Linked DNA regions of Mytilus edulis. The protein of the gene in region 1 binds, or shares a complex with, the protein of each later gene. Links are inferred from orthologs where the notes say so. Each region holds a gene or a part of one and is shown on either strand. Other genes may lie near its edges.

The links. The genes of interacting proteins can lie anywhere in the genome.
Region 2: THO complex subunit 6 homolog (region 1) and SAP domain-containing ribonucleoprotein-like share a complex: the UniProt entries of both Homo sapiens proteins name them as parts of the transcription/export (TREX) complex. The link is inferred for Mytilus edulis from reciprocal best matches to the Homo sapiens genes THOC6 and SARNP.

Annotation. Positions count from the first base shown.
Region 1 is NC_092349.1:58,726,202-58,734,107, reverse strand, and holds the start of THO complex subunit 6 homolog, read right to left. Parts: upstream 3,017-7,906; 5' UTR 2,931-3,016; coding exon 2,928-2,930; intron 2,762-2,927; exon of another isoform or gene 2,633-2,761; intron 2,518-2,632; exon of another isoform or gene 2,423-2,517; intron 1-2,422. Other genes in the region: serine-rich adhesin for platelets-like, read left to right, coding at 3,852-3,865. UniProt on the Homo sapiens protein: Component of the THO subcomplex of the TREX complex which is thought to couple mRNA transcription, processing and nuclear export, and which specifically associates with spliced mRNA and not with unspliced pre-mRNA.
Region 2 is NC_092345.1:85,205,208-85,212,404, reverse strand, and holds the start of SAP domain-containing ribonucleoprotein-like, read right to left. Parts: upstream 3,004-7,197; 5' UTR 2,907-3,003; coding exon 2,883-2,906; intron 1-2,882. Other genes in the region: uncharacterized protein, read left to right, coding at 3,226-3,392. UniProt on the Homo sapiens protein: Binds both single-stranded and double-stranded DNA with higher affinity for the single-stranded form. Specifically binds to scaffold/matrix attachment region DNA. Also binds single-stranded RNA. Enhances RNA unwinding activity of DDX39A.

The DNA.
Region 1 (7,906 bases):
ATAAAATTCTACTGTTCGTGATAAAAATTTCACTGTTCGGGGGTGTTGAAATTAATGGGGGTTATTAAAAGAATGATACTTAAAGAAGTGATTTTTGGGAAGGAAATTGAGGTCTGATACTTAAACAAGTGATTTTTATGTCATTATCCTAGATTCAGTACAAGGTCATCACCTGAAATGACCTAGTCATCCTAGACAACACAGATGTTGGTTCTGATAAGTTTAGAAACATAATTAGTCCCTGGATCATTAGTATTCTATATTTAAAGCTACAATAAAATTATATCACTTCTTCTAGTGATTAATTTTTACTTCTTAAATAGGTGATTATTAAAGAAAGACAACTCTAACTTCCAACCTTTATGGAAATAATGTTACTTGAATCAGTGATTTAGAAAATCACTTATTTAAGTAAGTCTGCCTATCCTTCAACCTTCAAGTTAAAGTTTTTGGTCAAGGAAAATTTTGTCAACTTGAAACTTAGGATGTATACATTCCCTATGATATGATCTTTTTAATTTGTTTGCCAAATTAAAGTTTTGACCCCAATTTTACGTTTCTTTGCACATAGAAAATGATAGTGTGTGATAATGATAATCCTGGAATCGTTGGGTCACTGTGAAAACTGTCCAAATATGAGAAAATAAAGGGTGGCAGGAAGATGAAACTAATATAAATGAAAAGATAAATGAAAAATTATCAAATTGAGATCTGATTTATATGGACCAAAGGCAGTCTGTCGGCGACAGAACTTCAGAAGCATCCAAGCAGCTCATCTATATTGGATGGGAAAATATCTAATTACTGATATGGGAATAGCAGGTAAGGCAAAACAGCCGTTGGAGATCAGAGTAAAATCAATCAATCATTTGTATTATTGTATATGAAATGTTTTTGTTAGATTTCTTTGATAAAAATAAAAAAAATATACAGTAGTGTAATTGGCCCGTAGTTCTAGGGGGTTTCCCCAACATGTAACAAGGGTACTGGTACATCACCGAGGGATCTGAAAGGGACACATGACGCAAGGGTAACAGTTGGGTACTTCCTAGTCTAAATAATTATGACGTCTTAAAATAAAATTGAGAATGGAAATGGGGAATGTGTCAAAGAAACAACAACCCGACCAAATAAAAAACAACAGCAGAAGGTCACCAACAGGTCTTCAATGTAGCAAGAAATTCCCGCACCCGGAGGCGTCCTTCAGCTGGCCCCTAAATAAATATATACTAGTCCAGTGATAATGAACGCCACACTAATTTCCAAATTGTACACAAGAATCTAAAATTAAAATAATACAAGACTAACAAAGGCCAGAGGCTCCTGACTTGGGACAGGCACAAAAATGCGGCGGGGTTAAACATGTTTGTGAGATCTCAACCCTCCCCCTATACCTCTAACCAATGTAGAAAAGTAAACGCATAACAATACGCACATTAAAATTCAGTTCAAGAGAAGTCCGAGTCTGATGTCAGAAGATGTAACCAAAGAAAATAAACAAAATGACAATAATACATAAATAACAACAGACTACTAGCAGTTAACTGACATGCCAGCTCCAGACTTCAAATAAACTGACTGAAAGATTATGATTTCATCATATGAACATCAGGCACAATCCTTCCCGTTAGGGGTTTAGTATCATACCATCATAACATATATGAGAAGAACATAACCCGTGTCATGCCAACAACTGTTTTTAGAATAAATGTGTTTAGTTCCGATGCAAAGACCTTATCAGTGACTCAATATTAACGCCAAAATATGCAATCTTTAATGACTTGACAACAGGATCGTAATTATATCCCTTATTAATAAGTCTATTCAAAGGTTTTGTAAGTTTCTGAGGTGAATACTGACACCTTTGTGCTTTATAAAGAATATTTACATAAAAAATTGGATGTGAAATACCTGAACGTATTAGAAGTCTGCATGTTGAGCTATATTTACGAATGATGTCTTTATACCGATGATAAAAGGCTATTATAATTTTTTTCTTTGACGCCTTACTTCGACGTTGAAGTAAGGCGTCAAAGAAAAAAATTATAATAGCCTTTCAAGACGTCATAATTATTTGGACTATAGTCGCCGTCAGCTGAAATTCGTAGCGGTTATCGGTAAAAATAATATAAACTATCAATCGCGTACACTCGAGATATAGTTTTTCACATTCCATTCATAAATCGCAAAAAGAAAAACCACTACTGACCTACCTTTTAAGTGATCACACTGTAATAATCCTGACCTTCACATTTTCGGGAATATTTTCCATTGTAATTCCGCCATCTTCGTTTCTATGAGGATCATTTGTTTACATATGACATTCGTCACAGTACGCAGTTTCCTGAAATGTTCCTTTCATTGATGCGATAAGGTTTCCCGCGCTTTATGCAAATTTTATGAAATTGAACTCCACGGAAACACTTCCGGTAAAAACAATGGCTGATTCCACCATTCAAAATCGTCTATGAAAAAGTGAAGGTCAGGATTGTTACAGTGCGATCACTTAAAAGGTAGGTCAGTAGTGGTTTTTCTTTTTGCGATTTATGAATGGAATGTGAAAAACTATATCTCGAGTGAAACGCGATTGATAGTTTAGATTATTTTTACCGATAACCGCTACGAATTTCAGCTGACGGCGACTATAGGTACTTCCAGCCTCTACTTCAAGTGCATCCCTCTCTTACGCGAAGCGAGCAAGGCAATGCGCCTGAAATTTGGGACCTGACAAGGTTAGCTGGGACTGACACCTAGAAGAGAGGTAAGGGCACTCTAACACTAAGTATAGCTTGTATTAACCCCTGGGGTAACCGTAGAGCTCAGCGAGACCGGCCAAAATGGCAAATAACACTTCAATATCAAGCCCATCTTTTTAGCCCTTAAACAGAGCTTAGAAATAAGTTCAAGTTTTCATACGAAACTTATACCATTTTCAATTTTGAATCTATTTGTATTCGCCAGTGAACTGGTAATATGTAAACTTTTGGCAGTTTGCACGTTGATTTGTTTTCGTTTGGTTTTCGGTATCGGGACCGTTCGCCCTAATAACATGTTCGCCCTGGGTATGTTCGCCCTGAGTTCGTTCGCCCATATAGTCCGTTCGCCCTACTAAAAAAATATTAATATTGAGGGCATTGAAGTTGAATAAACTTATTCAGATATTTCTATGGTATATATTCTTGAAATTTATGGAAACCGCGAAATATGTTAAAGTTTATGGCTTGTTTAGGATCATTACAATTGTTCAATGACAAAATAATTCGCATCGCTGATTATTTTGATACTTGTCTTTTGATGGATTATTAATAAAAATCAAACGTTTTGTTTAAAACTTTTGATAAAATATTCAGCTTGAAATTAATAAAAACAATGATGTACGAACTGTAAATCATGAAACATGTTTGTTTACAAGTTCATTTAGTATTATACTCTTAAAATTAGGAAACTAGAACAATTAGAACAAATGAAAAATCAGGGCGAATGGACCCTGGGCGAATGGACCCTGGGCGAACAGGAATCAGGGCGAACAGGAATCAGGGCGAACAGATACCAGGGCGAACGAGAATCAGGGCGAACGGACCCGGATTCTTGGTTTTCCCGCAGTTCCGGTGACTAACAAAAAATCGAAATCGGGTAAAAATCCGGAATTAAATAAAAAAAAAAACCAATAAATTATATTATCCCGGGAGTTAGAATGATTAAAATCATGTTCTTTAACATAAAGAAACAGACATCAACTGTAAAGTTAATTCTTATTGTAGTAATATGTATTATATTATACTTTCTCTCAAAATAGAATAAAATCACGTGATAAAAATTTGTATACAAAGTGAAAGTCATATGACTAGAAAATGGCCGTTGTTGGGTAAAGAACGTAATAATTTGACAGAAGTTTTCAGATATGAATAAGCAATAATATCATCATAAAACAGCATGTTCATATGAACATTTATATACAAGAAGTTATTTGTAATATTGAATCCTGAATCCTAAGATTTAAGGCTACTATATGGCCTGTCCTTTAGAGATCATGTTCAGAGAAAAAGTTGATATTTTAATATATATAATATTGTCATTCATAGGCAGATCCAGGGGGAAGGGGCCCGGGCCACCCTTTTCGTGGAAAAATTTGGTTGATTATATAAGGAATCACTGAAGCATGACTGGAGCAGGCCCGCCTTAGGTCAGTCAGCTGCCCCCCTTTTATGAAAAGTTCTGGATCCGCCACTGTGACATTGATTGATGTATGAAAATATAGATAAATAGTTTAATATTAATTCTCTGATGAAGTTTTACCAACTCCAAAAATAAAGATAAGATTTTTTTAAAGTACACATTTAAGTTCACCATATACATGATATCAGTCATTTCAAAAAAATGTACATTTTTCGGTTAATGTCTATTGTCTGTTTTATTTGTAAGTTTGACATATTTTTTCAATTTAACATAAGAGTTTACATATTGTGCAAGATAGTACATGCAAATATTAGTGTGCAAAAAGTTTCATATTTTTTTTTATATTCGTTTAAGTATGAAAATTCGCCAATTTCCATGCGTTCATTTTTGATAAATAACATTTGCATTCAAATTATCTGTACATAAAACTGCATTTAAAGGTAAACAGAATGATTTTTCTTCATTTAGTAACATCATAATTAAAAATAAATAACTTTCCATGTTTCAAATCATGACAACTTTTATTCCACAGTCACTGGAATGTCTGTTCATCAATATGTGTCCTTCCTGTTACTATTTATTTGTTTACGGAATAAAACTAGTTTCTCCCTCAAATAACGGCGGTTTTTTATGGTGACGTCGTAGGCGTGGATACAGGACATAACGACATGGTGAAATTTTTTATGTGGAAAGATTTTGGTCATCAGAATCAAAAGATCGGTAGGTATTGATGTATGCGTACCTTTTTATAATGTCTTTAATGTTACCAGTTGATAGATAATTTTTAATTGCATAAGACTAATGAAACGGTTGTTACCGTAACTTAGGCATGGGCCGGAAGTATAAAAACACTACATCAATTATTAGGGAGCGACTATTATAAAACCAATTTAAGTTATGTACTATTTTTTCCATCCTGTTACTGTCCTTCCTGTTACAAAGACATTGGTAACAGGAGGGACAAAAATGGTAACAGGATAGACATACTTTGTGTAAGAAAACTCAAAATGCCTCTTACATTATCGCAAATAAATTGTTACGCATATTTATTACCGTACGGTATATTAATTCATAAAATGTACATTTGTATTGAGGTATTTCTAGAACAAGTCAAGTGCTACCTTGACTGGTAACAGGATGGACTACATTATTAATTGTGCAATGTTTTGCCAACTTTTGTACTGGTTTCTTAGAGACATGATACTTTCTCGTTACAGGCAAATAGAGATACAGACCTTGCGAGACGACAGCAACACTCATGACACAAAAGAATGTCTTTTATTCCAAAAAAAAAGGGGGGGGTGCACAACATATAAATGTGGGTATATTATACCTCCGATTGTGGTTTGAACTCCCCTGCCCTATTCATAAAATAACTATGTGCAAATCCCTTCTCTTACTTAAATGAGATGATATTAGGAGATACAAATATTAGAACACCAATTTTAGTCTACAGTAGGTGCACATCATGTACGTATGGGTCGACCCATTAATTGATATAAGAATTTCTACCCATTGATTTATTGCCTTCTTAAAGTTGCAGGTCATTGATATATTTGCCATTCCAAATACAAATAAGCACACCAGCGGCAAATCTGTGTGTATTATTAATTTTTATAATGACATACCCCCCCCCCTTTTTTTTGGACGCCTCCGTGCTTTTCTTTGTCAAAATCATTGAGAGACGCTGCTACAACTTCCAGAATGTTGGCTATCATTCCGAATCCAAATAAAATCAGAACCTCTTCGTGAACTTATCGAGATGATCCAGAAATCCAAGAATGACAAGCCTTCAGTGTTAAAATGTGTCAGAAACTAGATACATGTATATCAGAATCATTGACAATAAGAAAAAAAATAATTTGAATTTTCGTTCAGTTGTATTGTTGTGTTCTTTAAATTGTCCTTATGTTTTTAAACATATGAAATTAGTTTTGCTCTTTACGCCTATCTTCAACCTTCTCTAAGACGGAACGATGGGTGGTTGTTCTGCTGATTGGTTAGCCTCCAGTGGACACTTAAAGGCATATTCAGGAAGAGAATATGATAAATAAATAAGAACCAACATGCTGAACTTGGTCTTAAAAGCGGTAGTTCACAGAAAGGCATGTCATCTTATGTACTGATTTTTACGACTTGCGGCAACAAAATCTTACTTCATACTTAACGAAAAAAACAAAAAACACCAATAACAATTTTTCATTTGTTTTTGTTTTGTTTTGTTTGTTTGACCCAGACAGGGTTGATACACGTATAAATGGTTCGTGTATAATGTTTATTTACTTATATCTCCCGTTCGTATCCCTATGAAATTCAAAATCCAGTTTTTTGTTATTGATTTTCGTGACCCAAATTATGTTTTGTCTCTACTGTTACCACTTTGTCCTCCCTGTTACTGTCTTTGTTCGTTCCTGTTACCCCAAAAAATGTGTAAAATAATTTTTACAATCAACATAACTGATCTATTGACTAAGTTTCCAGTTAGTATAATTGAAAAGGGACATACTAGTAAATTTTCAATGCCACTGTCTCCACAATATTTTTTTAAGAGTGTTTGAAAAATAAGAAATGTGATGATTTTCCTGAACGTACCGACTATCTGCAGATTTTTTTTGGGTAATCTACATAAATGATAAATGTAAATGTGATTTCAAATGAACACTGCTATGCAAATGTGAGCCACACTTTTCATTGGATATTTTCTTTTCTATTATCACTTTTGCTATCAGTTAAAAATAGTAACAGGATGGACAAAATCTGACACAAGCCTGCACACAATTTTAAAATAAAATTTTCTCAGGTGTTGGTAAGATTGCATATTTTGAAAAAATATTAACAAATCAATATGCTATTGGTTTTTTAAATTAATTTGCATTTATTTTAACTTTTTTTTTGGAAAAGTTCAGATTCCGAATTTGTACTTTATTTTGAAATGACTGATATACAAGAATCAAAGTGACAATATAGGATGATACATTTAGTATGGGTTGTTCGCATTGTTGAAAGCTGTATGGTTGCTTATAAATGTATACATTTACTTCATTTGAACTCATTGGTTTGTTCGATTTGTTGTATCTTCAGAGCTCCAGATAAGCTGCGTATTTGCGTGATCATGCAATACAAATAATAAAAAACCCAATGCAATTGCCCATTGCAGGGTTCAATAACCCAATTAATTCAAAGGAAAACCCAATTATATTCCAAAACCATGAGTTTTCCACCCTTTTATTGGCTACCATTTGCGTTGTTTACCCTTATCTGTTTACAGTCGTAGCGTAAACTATTTTTATTTTTTATAATATTTATAATTGGAAATTTCCTTTCGTTCTAAAAATAGATCCCTGCATCAAGTAGCTGAAATAGGTCCCTTTTAGAGTTTGCCGTTGCTCAATAGGTACACGTGTTTTTGAAAACATATCGATCTTCTCGACGTCTATCCAATTAGTGTGTGTCATGTAGTCATATTTTTTTCGCATTGCTCGGGATTTATCATAACATACATTGAATTAAAACAAAAGTGAATGTTCGGTTAAAATATTGAATAGAAGCATGTTTTCTGCTTCTTTTGAAAAGCTGAGGAAAAGTTATGATGATAACAAGACTCAGCCAGTGTTTTTAGGAAGCCGTAGAACACACGGGCGTGTGTGCGTACCTTAACGAGAACATTGCTAATAAATACAGGGTTTCCTCAAAAAGAAATCAGTTGGAAAAAGTGAAAGGCCAAACACTT
Region 2 (7,197 bases), on another chromosome or scaffold:
AGTTTGCGGGGAAAGTGCTGATGTGAATCTAAACGTTGTTGCAGAATTTAAAAGTAAATTACCCGAAATTGTTAAAGATTATGACCCAAGGGATACGTTCAATGCTGATGAAACAGGCCTTTTCTTTCGTGCCCTTCCTGACAAGACATTAGCGGAGCGTGGGAAAGAATGTAAAGGGGGTAAAATGTCAAAACAAAGGCTTACTGTTATGCTGTGTTGTAGTGTCAGAGGCGAGAAACTAAAACCTTTAGTCATTGGTAACGCTAATAAACCTAGATGTTTTCGCAATTTGGATGTTAAATCGCTTCCTGTGACTTGGAAGGCTAACAAAAAGTCCTGGATGAATAGCACATTTTTCACTGAATGGGTAAAGGACATTAATCGGGACATGCGGAAAAAATCTAGGAAAATCGTAATTTTCCTTGACAATGCAACTTCTCACTCGCACAATCTAAAGCTTAGTAATGTTGAATTGAAGTTTTTCCCAGCAAATACGACTTCTAAACTACAGCCACTTGATTTGGGTATTATTCGTGCCTTTAAAGCGAGATATAGAAAGCACATGATCAAACATTTACTGCCACAAATTGACAACTGCAATACAGTTACTGAACTTTGCAAAGAAATAAACGTTTTAAAAGCCATTCACTGGATTAAGAAGTCGTGGAACGAAACTAAATCCACAACAATTGAATCATGTTTTCGTGATGCGGGATTCCCCTTAGAGGCCCCAACAATTGTAGATGAGCCTGAAGACCCGGATGACGACATACCGTTAGCCGATTTAGTGGAACAATTAAGGTCAAGGGATCCGAGTGTACAAATTACAGAAGCTGACGATGTTGATGACAATTTGGCCACCGAATCAGCATTTGATAGTGAGTGGGAAACGGACTTAATCAGGGAATTTACTGGAGATACTTTAATCGAATCCGACGAAGATATTGACACAGACATTCCAACAGAGGTTCAACCCGGTTCCGATATGAACCATACTGACATTTTGGATTTATTGACAAAGTTGCGCAATTTTTCTATTTCTAAGGATAGCCGTTACCTAGATCAAACGGAACAAATGATTTCAATGACCGAGGACTTGATTGTAAAAAGCAAACTAGCTACACGTCAGACAACATTGGATAATTATTTCTCTGTACAATGAGATCGATTAACAGTTTGAACTTGCACTTTATTGTTCATTAAAAATTGTAATTGTTTTTTCTGCATCTATAAAATAACTTTTTGATATATTTTATTTTATTTTATATTGAAACCAACACGACAATACTTGTCATCTGTTGTATTACTTGGTGTCCGTCGTCTGGTGTATTATTTGGTGTCCGTCGTCAGTGTCTAAATCATTTTGCTGTCCACTTCCGTTTACCTCCACAATCCGAACACCTGTGAAAACCGAACAAAACACAAAGTCCCATGGGTGTTCGGTTTGGACAGGTTTCACTGTACCAAAAGCAGTGGAAACATGGATAGGAACTTAAAACAGGAGGAAACTTGCAGTAAAACAAAATTGTAGAATGAAAAACGAACAAAATCCTATTCCAAATATTACTGAAGTACAAGACATGTCAGTACAGACAGAGCCTGTTTCTCTTACAAGTTTAAGTGACAGAGAGGAGGTAAGGCTTGAAGTGCAGGCTGCAATCAAAAAAATGTATATAGATGATGATGATAATGAGGATGATGATGATGAACAAAATGAAAATAACAACATGTTTTAATAGAATCAAATAAATCAGATTGATATAATAATATTTGTATTTAAGTACTCAATTACAGGGTCCAATGAGAAAAATTAGTGGCTTATTTCTCTTACCAAGTAACTTAAACTACGGTACATAGAACTTTACTTATCAAAAATACCAAAGTGTTACTGTTAAGCATGATAACTTTCGTCCCTCAAAATACAAGGGTAAATGTTTTATTGTCAGTGGAGATAAGCCATGAATGTTTTTCATTGATTGTCATAAAAAATATAATTAGAATGTAAATATTTATACTGTTACACATAAAAACATCTTAGTCAAAATGCAAATATGGTATGATGTATGGGTGCAGCCTATGATAAATTATAATATTTATTCATGAAATATAATAATATGTTTCTTGTACATGTGACAGTCACAGTCGGTGTCTTGCAGGAAAAGACACTGAACCAAGAGGATTGAAATTTATGCTTGTACATCACATTTTCAAAACTATTTTTTTTAGGCTTTCTGGTAACACATCAAAGCTACACCATTGAAAAAAAAATGCCAAAATTACAAGTTATTTTTTATTAATTTGACCATAGTATCTCCTTTTCCTTAAACCCAGGAGCTTACAGGGGGCAAAGCCCCCCCTGGACCCTCCACAGGGCTTCACCCTCGATAAAAAAATATGAGACCTCTGACGAATCACAATAAGGTTATTTGACGAATCACAATAAGGTTATTTTGATGAATCACGATAAAATGTCAACCAATTTGACGCTAACGTAAACGATAACCGAAAATGGCCGTTTGACACCTGGCAGTACAGGGCACCTACTCTCATACACCTTATCGCTATTTGTCCGCCATTGCTGGAAATCACACAGGTTCCCCTAAAATTTTGACGTCATAAAACAAAATATCTGACGCCACAATGGAAAAGTGATTGTTGTTGACGTCAAAAGTTCAAGCGGCCGGGTCAGCCGGGATTAGCGATAAGGTGTATTGTCATACAAATTCATTTTTGCCATTCCATGAACATTCAACCATGCTCCCAAAATGACAAATTGACCCCCGATTCTCGCCATATGAGAATAGTTTTTATCATGATTACTTTTGACATTATTTTTTTTAACGCATTATGTTTATGATTGTGGAGAAACTTATTTTAAAAACCTTCAAAGTGCTCAAGTCTTCCATCGTGTTTTTCTTTTTATTTAACCGGAAATCACAATTTTAAACTTCCGCCCATTACCGAGAAAAACCAGAAAAAGATCCGGACTTGCTTACTATGTATACAAATAAAAATAGTAACAAAATAACGAATTTTTCTATTGATATAGACCCAAGTCAACGAAACGTGTCGAGTAATTGATTAGTCCAACGTCCTATGCTCTCATTTCAGATCTTTATCTACATTAAAGTGTTATCACGTAACAAAGCCCTATGAAACTCAGTTCTCGTATCTATTATCAATATAATCACATGACGATTTAGGTGTAAGTTGACTTAATTCAAAATGTTACAATTTACCTTTGGATGTTCATGTGTTTGTATCATTTTGATTCTATGTAGTTCGAACGTTCTAGCAAAGAGTTGCACTAAAAAATCAGCATGTTCTTGTCTAACAGATTCTGGACATTTAATTGATTTAACTCCATTGGCGAAAAAGGATGGAACCCCTGCGTAAGTTTGTTCTTTTTATTTATAGCAACATGGTTCAGAGTCTAACAATTATTTTGCTGACTCAATAAGATTTGATTTCATGTCAGGAAAGGAACCGTCACTGTTTGCGAAAAAAAAGTGAAATCACATAAATACTGAACTCTGAGGAAAATTCTAAACGGAAAGTCCCTAATCAAATCAAAAGACACAAATCCTTTCATCTACATGGCTCATTCAGTCATGTCTTCTTTTTCTCCAATCAATCCGTGACTGCATTCTTACACACACGACTCAGGTTATCTTCATCAATCAAGTCACAGTTTAATTCTGTTGACTTTTCACTTTTATCAGTTAGCTTCCGATTTTCTCATATCTTACTTTTAACTACCCTCTTCTCCTGAATGTAAGGTAGGGTTCTATTATTTTTTTCGACAATTAACACGAGAAAAGCCCGAAATGTTTTGCAAGTTCGGGGTTTTTTTTTTGTTAAACTTTTGTGTAATGAATTTTTAGTTATCTGTTCAAAAATGCACTGTGTTTTATTCTTATAGATTCTGGAATTTAGTGATTGATTTAAACCATGACAAACTTTATAGAAAATAGCAAACGAAGTTCACTTCTCACACATTTGGTGTCCGTCATCCCATACACAAGAATGAAGGACATTTAAATTTTTAAATTAATCAGTACACGTGCTATGTCTTAGATAAATCTTATAAATTTTATAGTTATCATTGATGTAAACGGAAAACACTTATACCCTGTTATGATTTTTAAAATATCTTTTTTTTACAAAAAACGTGATAAAAAATGTCCATAGCAAGTGAACTTTAAGAAGGATTTCCAAATATGATACTTAAAAAAAAAAAAAAAAAAATAAAGTCAGCGTTTACTGTTGTCAATGGACATTTGAAAATAGCCTTCATACTTTTTTTCTTTTTTCCCTATGTTACTATTGTGGTTATTGTACCTTTGACTTAAAAAAATTCTTAAAAATTCCGATATTCGTCGCAGTTAATTTTTCCATAGCAGATAAGATTGAAAAATGATGAAACAATCTAATTATCAAGATTTTTTTTTAACTCAATGTTTTCTGTTGTCAACTGCATTTTGAAATGCAATCAAAATGACAGTTTATGAATTTGATATACTGTGACCATGATATATTTCGGGGGGAAAATGAACAATTGAATAACACAGATACATTCAAAACCGAGGTTATGTCAATTTACCAAAATTATAAAGACTTAATTTTAATACACATACGAGATATCATTTGTCATAATAAATTATATATCTCGGTGAGCAATTTAAAACTATCAGAGTTTTTATTAAAAAAAAATGTAGGGTTATCTCGCTTGGAAATGTCCAATATTCTTGAACATGGTTAGTTTAAACATATTTATTTATAGTGGATTGTGAAATAAGTTTTGCAACTTATGTTAATCCCTTTCCACTTTGCAGGTGCGAGTTTACAATGCTGATCTACCTAATGTCTATAGATTTTGCCCTTTTAAAAGCGAAGAATTTTATCATTTATTTTCTCCATTTTTGCCTATTATGATCTTTTATCTTGAAATTATAATAGATATAGAGAAACGGTAAGAAGCACAAATGATCAGCAAGATAAGATCTACAAAAAATGTCAAAATCGTCAGACGACTCCTGATTGGAGTAATAGCCCTTTAATGACGATTTAAAAAAAAATTGTCTAATGTCAGAAAAATTAAAATAGGTAGATTGAAACATAAATCAGAAAACTGAAAACTATCAGCAACACAAGATCCATAAGTTTAGTAGTTGAAATCGTCCGATGATACAAGTTTTTATTAAATCAGGAAAATCAATACAAGTATAATTAAAAACCAATTGTTCAGAGAACAATTGAAAGTCTTTCCAAACTAAAGTAATTTGGATAAGAAGGTAGTTTCTTTATACTGATGCGATAAATGATGGTTTAATTATCTTTTTGAGTGATATAAGGGAGATAATATGCTACTACCGGTGAAATTAATGTCACATCCGGTCTCATATGATAGCTTCTTTCACACTGATTCCAAAAATATATAGTTTCTATATACTTTTGTATGTAGAATGGGAGATAATTGGCCACTTCCGGTTTGTTGGAAGTCATTTTTAGTCTTCAGTAATCTGTTCATGTATCTATATGACAAAATATATGGATTCTGGGTACTTTTAGGTGAAAGAAATTGCAAAAATAGCTACTTCCGGTTTTCTAAAGGTCACTTCCGGTAGCCATTTTTCAAGGTCATTAGTCACTTAACCTTTTGTATGAGGTCAAATGTCTTTATAATGAACTTAATTGAAGTTATAATCAAATAACTTCATATCAAGACATTTCAGGGGCACCAACTCCTATAAGATGCCATTTAATTGTATAAGACTAAATGTAACATATCTTCATTACAATAAAGCTGACATTTGCACTTGTTCTTTTATGTGTATCTCTCAAAGTGTCGGAGAAAATGCAAAAACAAGCAAAAGTCACAATTTAGAACTTGACCTTGACCTTTGACCTTGACCTCATTTTCTAAGTTGGGACCCATTGGACTCAAATAAAAACATTCCAGGGTTATACAGTTAACGGTTTATGAGTTAAATAAACATACCGACAAATTTATTTTGTAAAGGTAGATAACTCCTATAAAATTTCATCGAATCGCTTCGCTCCAAATGCGCCAAAAATTACTGAGGATGTAACGAACAATTTGTAAAAAGAATTTTGTCGCTATCTTTTTTTGTTACGAAGGAGATGCACACAGATGATAAACAGTGAATAGGGAGATAACTCTTACAAAGAAAATGGTTCGGCTTAGCAGGGTAAAATTTAAAAGCGCGTAAACTATACGATACCATATGAGAAATATCTAAGCGACATATTGCGAAACAAACATTTATCGCAAGAACAAAATTTGGCGGAAAAAAAAAATAATAATCAGAAGAAAAACAATAAGTCTTTCCACAGAAAAGTGGAAAGACTTAATGATGTCTTCCCCCACATTAACATGATATTACATCACATAAATACATATATATCATGTTTGACAAAATATCAAATCAAGGTTAAATGAATAAAATTACAAAGATTCAAAGCATAATTAATTTTATGTAATGGCATATATTTTTTGTATCATCAATATTTTGTGGGTTAATTAAACTAATAATGGTTTTCATAACTTTTTCAGGGCGCAGATCTTGATTAAATAGTTGTTTTCTATAATTTTAAATTTTTTTGCAATAAATAAGGTTATGTTTTTCATCCTCTATTTGATTACAGTTCAAGCATATTCTGTTTTCTCTCTTAAATTTTGGTCTGAAATATCTGCCCTTTTCAATCAAAAAAGGGTGGGAACTAATTCTTAATTTTGTAAGATTTCTTGTTAAGATACCTTATTAGAGTTACTGACCTTTAGTGGCAATTGTTACCACTTTTTCCCCCATTTTCGTCATATATCTTATAAGTTACAATAGATAGATAGAAGCTTGAAATAGCAAAAATGATCAGTCAGATAAGATCTACAAAAAAGTCTAATGGCCGAATTCTTTAGTAGACTCCTGATTTCATTTACTGCCTTTTAGTGACAATTTATTACCCATTTCTAGTGTTTTGCCCCTTATCTTGAAAACTATTACAGATAGATAGCCATTTCAAATACCAAATTGATCTGGATGAAATTTTCTTTGACTCCTTGCTGAAAGAGGTCTTGTTCATTAATGACTATATTTACCGACTTTTTGTGTTTTTGATGTTTATCTTTCAAACTATGAAAGATAGATAGATACTTTTAATAGCAAAAATGATCAA